2 linked regions of the Caenorhabditis elegans genome follow. The protein of the gene in region 2 interacts with the protein of the main gene of each other region in a pairwise test. Each region holds a gene or a part of one and is shown on either strand. Other genes may lie near its edges. The genes, in order: swsn-1 and metl-13.

What was found.
Region 1: the proteins of metl-13 (region 2) and swsn-1 interact in a two-hybrid assay, tested with the Caenorhabditis elegans proteins (3 studies listed by BioGRID).

Annotation. Positions count from the first base shown.
Region 1 is NC_003283.11:20,246,415-20,251,568, forward strand, and holds the start of swsn-1 (SWI/SNF complex subunit SMARCC2), read right to left. Parts: upstream 3,069-5,154; 5' UTR 3,047-3,068; coding exon 2,932-3,046; intron 1,336-2,931; coding exon 710-1,335; exon of another isoform or gene 1-709.
Region 2 is NC_003282.8:6,633,315-6,638,864, reverse strand, and holds metl-13 (Methyltransferase domain-containing protein), read right to left. Parts: upstream 3,777-5,550; 5' UTR 3,774-3,776; coding exon 3,688-3,773; intron 3,450-3,687; coding exon 3,224-3,449; intron 3,150-3,223; coding exon 2,938-3,149; intron 2,893-2,937; coding exon 2,781-2,892; intron 2,729-2,780; coding exon 2,610-2,728; intron 2,564-2,609; coding exon 2,426-2,563; intron 2,378-2,425; coding exon 2,191-2,377; intron 2,147-2,190; coding exon 1,975-2,146; intron 1,716-1,974; coding exon 1,528-1,715; intron 1,481-1,527; coding exon 1,336-1,480; intron 1,282-1,335; coding exon 1,037-1,281; intron 987-1,036; coding exon 846-986; 3' UTR 710-845; downstream 1-709. Other genes in the region: C01B10.7 (TransThyretin-Related family domain), read right to left, coding at 194-286; C01B10.9 (Bis(5'-adenosyl)-triphosphatase), read right to left, coding at 4,173-4,235, 4,347-4,619, 4,687-4,848, 4,895-5,015, 5,347-5,550.

The sequences.
Region 1 (5,154 bases), on a different chromosome or scaffold from region 2:
GTTTTTTCTGATGAAAAATTAATGTTTTTGTGGACAAAATATCAATATGTTGGGATTTTTCACTGAAAATTCGAAAAATTTCAGTGAAAATCGATTTTTCTGTTGAAAAATTCAAAAACTGCGGGATTTTTTCGGTTTTTCATGACAATTGGCCGAAAAATCAGAAAATTTCTCGCGAAAATCGATTTTTCTGATGAAAAATTCAAAAATTGAGGGATTTTTTCGGGTTTTCCATAATAATTGGTCGAAAAATTAAAACTTTTCAGTGAAAATCGATTTTTCCGATGAAAAATTGTGTGAAATTGCCGATTTTCGCTCAAAAATAGCCGGAAAATGCTCAAATTTGCACTGAAAATTCCAATTATCCTCAAATTTGCACTAAAAATTCCAATTTTTCTCAAATTTGCACTAAAAATTCCAATTTTTCTCAAATTTGCACTAAAAATTCCAATTTTTCTCAAATTTGCACTAAAAATTACAATTTTCCTCAAATTTGCACTAAAAATTCAAAATTTCCTCAAATTTGCACTGAAAATTCCAATTTTTCTCAAATTTGCACTGAAAATTTCAATTTTTCTCAAATTTGCACTAAAATTCCAATTTTCCTCAAATTTGCACTGAAAATTCCAATTTTTCTCAAATTTGCACTGAAAATTCCAATTTTTCTCAAATTTGCACTGAAAAACCAAGGCAGACGCCAGGTACGCACTCTCATCGCGATGGCCTGCTTCTGATACTGATCAATTTTCAGGCCGGGCGTCGAAATGGACTCAATCTCAGTCTTAATCTCCTCTTTTGGTGGCTCCCCAGATGCTCCAGCAGACTCCTTTCCAGGTGGATTCATTGGCTGAATGCCAGTCGGTGTATCAGCTAAAACCATAAAATGGCTTGTTGGTGGCGGAGCAACAGGAGCCGGCCGAGCATCCGAATCAACTTGATAATTCAGCAGGCCCCATTGCTCGAGAAACGAGTGAAGCCGCACAATTGAGCACACATCACCGGCCAAATTCCGGCGACAAGCCGTCGCAGACACGTATTCAAATGGATTCAGACGGTACGTGTCGACCATAAAATTACGGTAGGCAACGTAGACGTCCGGTGTCTTGCTCTTATTCTTTCCGTTGAAAAATTCAGGCATTGCGCGTTTCTCGATTTGATGAATTGCGTTATAGTCGAACCAGCCGGCGTATGAGGGGACTACAATGTAGTGGGTCTGCTCAATGACGTTTCCTTCGGCGAGTTGTGGAGCTTCTTTTGTTGATTGGACACCTTCTTCGTCGAGATCAGTGAGCTTTTGGCCTTTTGGTGCGCTGAATTCGGCGTCTTTTTCCTTTCCTGCAAAAGAGAATTGGTTGGAAATTGAGGGGAAATTGGATTAGCAGCGCCCAAAACTTGTAGTTTGTAGTTTAGCAGCGCCCAAAATTGAATTAGCAGCGCCCAAATCTTGTAGTTTGTAGTCTAGCAGCGCCCAAAATTGAATTAGCAGCGCCCAAATCTTGTAGTTTGTAGTTTAGCAGCGCCCAAAATTGGATTAGCAGCGCAAAAAACCTGTAGTTTGTAGTGTTAGCAGCGCCCAAAATTGAATTAGCAGCGCCCAAATCTTGTAGTTTGTAGTTTAGCAGCGCCCAAAATTGGATTAGCAGCGCAAAAAACCTGTAGTTTATAGTGTTAGCAGCGCCCAAAATTGAATTAGCAGCGCCCAAATCTTGTAGTTTGTAGTTTAGCAGCGCCCAAAATTGGATTAGCAGCGCAAAAAACCTGTAGTTTGTAGTGTTAGCAGCGCCCAAAATTGAATTAGCAGCGCCCAAATCTTGTAGTTTGTAGTCTAGCAGCGCCCAAAATCGGTCAGCAGCGCCCAAAATTGAATTAGCAGCGCCCAAAATTGAATTAGCAGCGCCCAAAACTTGTAGTTTGTAGTTTAGCAGCGCCCAAAATTGAATTAGCAGCGCCCAAATCTTGTAGTTTGTAGTTTAGCAGCGCCCAAAATTGTATTAGCAGCGCCCAAATCTTGTAGTTTGTAGTTTAGCAGCGCCCAAAATCGAATTAGCAGCGCCCAAAACTTGTAGTTTGTAGTTTAGCAGCGCCCAAAATTGAATTAGCAGCGCCCAAATCTTGTAGTTTGTAGTTTAGCAGCGCCCAAAATTGTATTAGCAGCGCCCAAATCTTGTAGTTTGTAGTTTAGCAGCGCCCAAAATCGAATTAGCAGCGCCCAAATCTTGTAGTTTGTAGTTTAGCAGCGCCCAAAACTTGTAGTTTGTAGCTTTAGCAGCGCCCAAAAAAATTTTAGGAAGGAAATTTGGAAAAATCTGGTTTTTTTTGGTCCTGAAATGCAATTTTGACCGAAAAATTGGTTTTTTTCTGGAAAAATCAGATAAAAATGCGATTTTTTCAGAAATTTCGAAGAAAATCTGAAGAAAAAGCGCTGAAAAATTCCATTTTTGGCTAAAATTTAAATTTCCGATTTTTTTTCCAAAAAATGAGTAGAAATTTTGAAAATGCGCTCTGGAAATGTTCGAATTTTGACCAATTTTCGCTAAAATTTAGCTTAGCAGCGCCCAAAATTCAAATTTCGGTCTTTTTCGAATGAAACTTGAAAAAAAAAAAGTTCACTTTTGCGTAAAAAATGTGTTGAAAAAAGCATTTTCGAGTGTAAAAAACCAATTTTTTGCGTTTTTCAACTCTCAATTCCGGAAAAAATGGAAAAATTATGCAAATTTCCCAGAAAATCAAAGTTTTCCAGTCAGTTATTGCAAAAACTTGAGCTCTGACGCTGAAATTGCACTTTTTGAGGGTATTCGGGCTGCCCGGAGCCAGATTTTCACGGATTTTGCTCGATTTTTTTCGATTTTGTCGGAGAAAATCACTAAAAAATGCGTTTTTCAGAGCTATTTTTCCGCATTTTCGCCGAAAATTCCACACAGATTTCGCTACCTTTCGGCACTTCAACCTTCACAGCGGCACCACTTCTGCTATCATCGTCGTCGCCGGTCATCGAAACGTCACCGTCATCGTCGTCGCGTCTCCGCTTCGACGCTCCCTTCTTCATTCCACTTTTCGACGAAATTTTGCTGAAATTTAGCGGGGAATTGAAAAGATTTTCAGGGTTTTCAGCGAGGAAAAAGCATATTTATGGGCAGAAAATTGCGAAAAAATCGATTTTTTTCACTGAAGTGAGCAGAAAAACGGCAAAATTTCTAGGAAAAATGTCTGTAAAATCAAGAATTTTAACAGAAAACTGTGGAAACTGCAAAAATCTCGTATTTTCTTGGAATTTCTTTCGAAATTTTCAATGAAATTATGACTAAATAACCTTAAAAAGAGACTTTTAACAAAAAACTGCGAGAAAATTGGTCGAAATTGGTCCAATATCGAAATATCGAGGCCCGCGTAGATTCAAACAAGGCGGCAGTGTGAGGGAGCTCGCGCGTAGTGAGAGACGCCAGAGAAAACAGAGAAAACGAGAGAAATAGTGTGGAGAAACGAGAGAGAGCGCAGAGAAAGGAGGCCTCGTGGAGAGGGAGAGAGAGAACGCGGGATGAACATCTGCTCAGAAAATGGAATACGGGGGGACCTGTAGGACGGTGGGGGAATTATCGATTTTCTTGGGGTAATTGGGATTTTGCAGCGCTAAAATAGAGCGGGAATTGTAGGAAATTTGAAAATTTTCGATTTTTCCAGGGAAAAATCCCGGAAAATTTCCGAAATTTGAAGCATTTTTGAGAAAAATCGAGCTAAAATCTTGTAGTTTGTAGTTAGAATTCAGGAAAGTTGAAGAAAATTTGATTAAAAATTGATTTTAAGCGAAAAAATTCGAATAAATCGAAAAAATTGACAAATTCAAGCATAGCAGCGCCCAAAAAGCTGTAGTTTGTAGTTTTAGCAGCGCCCAAAATCGAATTAGCAGCGCCCAAAACTTGTAGTTTGTAGTTTTAGCAGCGCCTAAAATTTGAATTAGCAGCGCCCAAAACTTGTAGTTTGTAGTTTTAGCAGCGCCTAAAATTGAATTAGCAGCGCCCAAAACTTGTAGTTTGTAGTTTTCGCAGCGCCTATAATTTGAATTAGCAGCGCCCAAAAAGCTGTAGTTTGTAGTTTTAGCAGCGCCTATAATTTGAATTAGCAGCGCCCAAAACTTGTAGTTTGTAGTTTTAGCAGCGCCCAAAAAGCTGTAGTTTGTAGTTATTTTGAACTTTTTTTGATGAAAATTGAGGAAATCGGGCTTTTTTTCCGAAAAATTCGCATTTTTTAGCGATTTCTAGCAAATTTCAGCGAAAAAATGGCAAAAATTACGTAAATTTCAGTAGAAATTCCAGTTTTCGAGCTGAAAAAGAGCAAAAATAGAGCATTGAGGGGGGTATTTAACCACATCAAAAAAGTTGAAAATACAACGGAAAAAACGATAATTAATTTGAAAAATGTCTTGTTTTGTTGTTCAATGAAAAGCGTCACAATGATGATAATGGTGAATAATGAATAAATATAAAAAATACACAAAAAAAAGTACACAATTTAGTGATAAATAGAGCGATAAATCGAGATCAATTCAAAAAATTGGAAAAACGGTTCGGACGATTTTGAACGTATAGAAGCCTAAAATGAGCTCAAATGAACGAATTTTGTAATAAAACTGCTCAAAAATTTTAAATTTTTTAAAAATTGTTTTATGGCGGTTCAAAATTTTGAAAAAATTACACTTATTTTAGCTAAAATCACGAATTTTTCCGAGTCACATCTGTCTCCGAAGTTGGCTTTTTTGGAATTATCGTCTTTTATTACATATATATCGGTAATTAATCTAATTTAATGTCGTCGATTAAGGTATTTAAAACCGATAGGTAACAGAGGTGGGCGGATATTTTCTAATAATGAATTTATCAATAAGTATTGATGTAGTTATTCAGGAAGAAATGTATCCGAACAAAAGAGTAACTATTAAGCAACATTTTAATATGATAAAACCTAGAAAAATTCTACAAGTTTTCTGTATAAACGATATGCAAGTCCATTATCCAATATCCGTAAAATCCGTAATATCCGATATCCGATGTTGCTCGGCTAATAAGTTTTAAGGTCTCGGTAAGGAAAACTTGTAGAATTTTTCTAGATTTTATCATATTAAAATGTTGCTTAATAGTTACTCTTTTGTTCGGATGCATT
Region 2 (5,550 bases):
AGGTTCTTATTGTCTGGCTGTATATAAAAGCAGGCATCTAATTAGAAGGCGATGTAAATAAAGTAGTTTGTTTTAATTAAATTAAAGTTCAACTAGTGAAAGTTTAGAAAAAAACGGTTCATTGTATTGAGGTAGGTACGAAGTAGGCCGGCATTTTTGGGCCTAATTGGAAGGCTTTAATTTCCCTAGTTACCTTTCTTATCATTGTACGTTTTGGTTCAGAACTGGAATCAACTAGACATATTAGCAATAGAAATAGAGAAAGTACAGTACTAACTTGAACCATGATGGCCGCACAAGTGAACTTATGAATTTTATAACCGCACGGTGAGAGGCGGAAATAAAAATTAAAAGATTAAAAAACACAGTTTGATAGAAATTACTCGTTGTCTGAACTTTTTTAGAGATTAATCTATTTCTGCAGTACAGATCACTACCAAAATGAATACTATTTTGTAGAAAAACTGACGATCAAAAATTAAAAGTTTCATATTTTGTGACGGAAAATATTTTTTAGTTCCAAAGTTATTATAGAATAGTTTTGGCCGCATAATCAAATACAGATAATTTGCACAACTTCCTAGTGGAATTCCAAATAGTCTACATCGGAAGTACAGTAGGATCGCGTCGAGATATCGAATATGCTGTTAATAGTTGTTTTTCCTGCAAAGTTGTTTTTCACTGCACCGTGAGAACATTAGACATGTTTGCAAAGTGTAAAACAAAATTCATCAGGTGAACAAACGAAACAACAAACGGGGGAAAATTTGAATAACTGGGAACAATCGAATACATATAATAAAAAATTACTGAAAATAAACAAGATAACAAACGAAATTGTGCAATTAATAATCAACCATACGAATGTTTGAGATAGCACCGACAACCTCATCATAGCTTCCAATATCTTTGCGAACTGTGTTGATTAATTTCTGAGGAACCACTGGTTTTATTGTGTTCTTGGGTGTTTTGAGACCGATGATAATCTGAAAGAAATATATTTGCTAGTAGAATTTCAATAATTAATTTAGTTTACCTCATTAACATCTTCGAAGGACAGAACTGTGTAGAGAGTTGGGAAATACTCTGCGATATTCTTTTTAATCGACTTTCCGAATTCCGAATCGCGTGTAACCAAATTCAAACTAATCATTCCTTGTTCTTTCACCGAGTTTTTCATATTTCCTAGAGCTTCTGGGGTAAGGAAGGCGGATGGTGGGCATTGAAGAGCAGCGTTCTGACTTCCAGAAACATCCACAAAAATCACATCGTATTTCTCTTCTGGAAATAAGAATTGATTTGTAAAATAAAATTTGAACATGATATTTTAAATACCTTCAGGTTTCTTTGCAGTCTCCTGGAGATGAATAAGAGCATCTTGGATGACAACGTCAATTCTAGCGTCCGAATGGGGGAACGAGAAGTGAGAATTTGCGATTTTGAGTACTTCTGGATCAAGTTCCACAGCGGTTACATGAGCCTGAAACGAAAATTTAGCACTGTTAAGTTTCTAGACTTGATTGATACCTTTTTGAAATGTCTGACAAGATATGCAGTCAAAAGTCCACCACCTAATCCAAGAACAGCCATCTTACACTGAGCATCATTCTTGGCTAATGGTTGTTGCGGACTGATGGCTAGGGATCCGATCATCATTCTATGGAAATCGCATGCCAATTGATCGAGATCTATGACCGTTTGCTTCTTCTTTCCGGCTGTAATGTTAATTTTAAATTTTGAGGTGAGCATCATTAAACCGTTCTTTTTTAATTCTGATAAACTACCTCTCGTGTATTAACAAGATGGGAAATGTTATTCTTTTTCCACCGAAAATAATACAGAAGGATGTGCGCCTTTAAACAATACTGCAATTTTCAAATCTCGTTGCTGCTCAGTTTTCATTGATTTTTCAGTTGTAATAAATCCATTTTACTCTTTAAAGGGGGTTGAAAAATGAAATTTTCAACTACTAACTTTTCAGATAAGCTTCAGATTGTACCAGATTCATCGTATTCAGAAAAACTAGTCTTCTAGTTTGATTTCCTTCAACAGTAACTTCTTCAACACTCCAACCACCATTGATATCCGAACGTCCCGTTGAAACGGTTCGCTTAACATCGACTCCTCCGATGGATAGAATTTCGTACTGAAAATCGGGTTTTCATATGTTTCGTGTTCAATTCTACATACATTTCCAGTATTATCTTGTCTAACATCCAGCATTCCAACAAAATGTCCAATATCACTCTTCACACCGTCCATTCCTTTTTCATATTTTTGATTTCTGTTGAGGAAAACGATTGCGAGACGTTCGCGGCCACATTGAACACGAAGAGCTTTTCGTCCCTTTGGTGAGGCGAATAGCCATTCAGAATCACTGAAATTAATATAAGAATTCGAATTTAAAAATGTTTTCTATACAAACCGTCCAATTGGAACCACAAATGCGGCGAATGTGTCAATCTTCTTGGCTTCTGGATTATCAACAACACAGATACGATAACGTGGTCCTAATGATGGATCTGCTCCATGAAAGTCGATTGAAACTTCAGAGTCCAGCTTTCTAAATTAATTTCATTAATTTCAAGGGAAAAACTAAAATGAATTACTTCGAGCACAGGTAGATGAATTGTGAGAGCTCCTGTTCTCCACGAATAGAATCCTTCAATTCGTCAGTGCTATCGATACGATCAGTACGGATGGAGCTGGAGCGAAGAACTTCTAGAGGCTAAAAATATAGGTTTTATTTAAATAAAATAATTTGCAATTTATCTACCTACCAATGGATTTGGCATTGGTGCTCGCATTTTCGTGGCAATAAAGCAGAAAACTGGCATTGGGAATCCAGAAGCCTTGTTCTCAACTTTTTGAACACGTAGGATATATTGCTTTCTGGAATAACGTTTTACAGATTTTTGAGAAAAATGAATATTTTACAATGGATAGAAGTGATTAATCCAGAACTCGGTGATATGTGGTTGAGCCAATGTGACAATGATATATCTTCCACCAGAAGCCAATACACGATGAACTTCCTCGAACATCTTTGTAACCAATGCTTCATCGGATTCTGAAGCTGATGGTGGAAGAAGAGCGTCGAGAGTTCCTTTATCAATTACAATGGTATGTGCTTCATCGGCCATGGATAGCTATAACATATTATTTTCGAATTTCTTTTCTTTTAATTGTTCATTGTGCACAACGGGACATTCTCCAAACTCACATTAGCAGCATCTCCAGTCTCAAAAGTCATTCCGAGTCGTTCTTTATTTTTACGAATCTGTGTGGCAATAACAGATGGTTCTACATCAATACTGTGAATGCAATGAAATCCATTATCGTAGAGTTGGGTCGCTAATTCCGAATTACCACATCCAAGTTGAAGGAACGTGTCTTTCGGTTTCAAATATTTATCAATTACATTTGATAAAGAATTATAGTCACCGTACCTGAAAGAATTCAAATTTTTACATGAGAATCGAAAGCATTCAATTTTTGTGTATGTTGATGAGGAAAAATTTCTATCTAAAAAGAAGAAAAATGGTCAATATTTTAAGTTATTTTTCGAAACATTGATAATTTTTCTTTGACAAATCTGAAAAACACTTGATAGTGATGTGATAATTTTCTTTTAATTTTGTTTGAAAGACATCATATTTTAACAAAGAAATATAATTATTTAATTACCATTCGAATGGAGATTTTCGTTTTGCAAAGAAGTTCTTCCAGTACGCTGGATCCGTGAAAGATTGTGGCTCATTTGGAGCGGACATGGCCTGAAACTATAGAAACTAGAAAAATAATCATTTTAAATACTCGAAATAAAACATGAGGCTAAATGAAAACCAAAGAAAATAAAATTATAATTAAGAAGTAAAAAATATGAGAAACATTCATTATTAAAGTTAAGTAATCTTTTTTGAAAATATATCACATTGAAAATTGATAAACTGTCTTTGGATGATTTTGAAAATCCTGAAAATCCACAACCGGGGAAAAAAATCAAAAAGAGATGAAAGGATGACTAGGACAAATAAAGAGATAAATATTTTGCTTTGTGATTTGAATATTCTGCAGAAATTAAAGAGAAATCGAAGGCACAATGGGGGAAATATATAAAGAGGTCACAAGAAATATTTACAATTTGAATGCAAAAAGTTATATTAAAAAGATCAAATATCATCATCGCTCATTTCATCCAGTAGTCCAGACATTGCTACCGTTCCATTGTTCAGCTGAAAATCTACACATTTTTGAGAACATTTCGGGTAATTTTTTATTTATTTTTTCTTTAAAATAATTTCGAGCGATATTTGATTTTCCGATTATTTCAATATAAAACTCACACTTCCAAGTGCACCACCTCCTGCTTGACTCCTTCTTCCACCTCTTTCTAAATCTATCGAATTCCTTAATCCATCTCCTTCATCCTCATCCTCATCATCATTTAATTCGAATCCTTCGTTCGTCCGGTTACTCAATGGCCGATATCCTTGAACTGTATCGGATCTTCCCCAATTGGGATCAGATTTGAGTACGGTATTCTTACATCCATAAGCGAAGAATATTATAACAATACACATTGAAGGAATTAAAATAAGCGAAAAACTCCATGAATCCTGAAGAAAAATTATGTGCTTTTGATAAGCTTTAGAATTGAGTCAAATACTCTGTGGAATAACCTACCGTAATCTGATTAAATACGAAACCATGTGTCATTGGTAAATATCTGTTCTCTTTTAAAGCTCGTTTCACAATTTCCATGGTTCCATTATTTTCAGTTGGTGTGATACCAAGCACATGACACATTATATTGTACAAATCCACATTTGAAGGAATATCGGCAATCTGAAAGAATATTTATCATACAGTTCTCAAAATGCCTAGCTTATACCGTATAATTTTCAGAAAACGCTGGGCCTCTCATAATAAGGAAAGCTCTCATCTCTGGACGATCAGGATCTTGTCCGTGAGTTGATGAATTGAATTTTAATGTTCCGTTTTCTCCATATTGCCTGAAAGTTGATTTCAATAAACTAATCGTTGTAATATTTTTTCCGGTAAACGGATCAAACTGCCTTTTTTTAATATGATAATTCAAGAAAAAATGTCCCATTCCATCTAAAAATGATATTTGTTTTTGTTGAAAAACTTGACAAAGGTCTCAAATAGTGCCGTTAAAAGTTATTCTGCAAATGACAACATTCGGGCAATATTTAAGGTTTTTTTTCCAATTATTCAACAAAGCTAAATATTATTTTCAGATAGAATGCACCTGTTTCTGCATTACTATTGTTTACGTTTGCCAGAAAAATTTGCCGCACAGCCCGGTTGTAAACCACATACTTTTCCATAAGATCCTTCGTACACGAAAACGAAATCGAAGAACCGATTTGCGGCTCGAAAACGATTTTTCCAATTCGCGAACTGTTTCGATAATGCCATCTTTCTGGAACTTCCTCTCTCCAATGAATATTCACATCATATCCATGCTCTTTCACTGCTGATGTTAAATTTGCATAAATTTGTTTTCCAATTTCATCCGAGTGT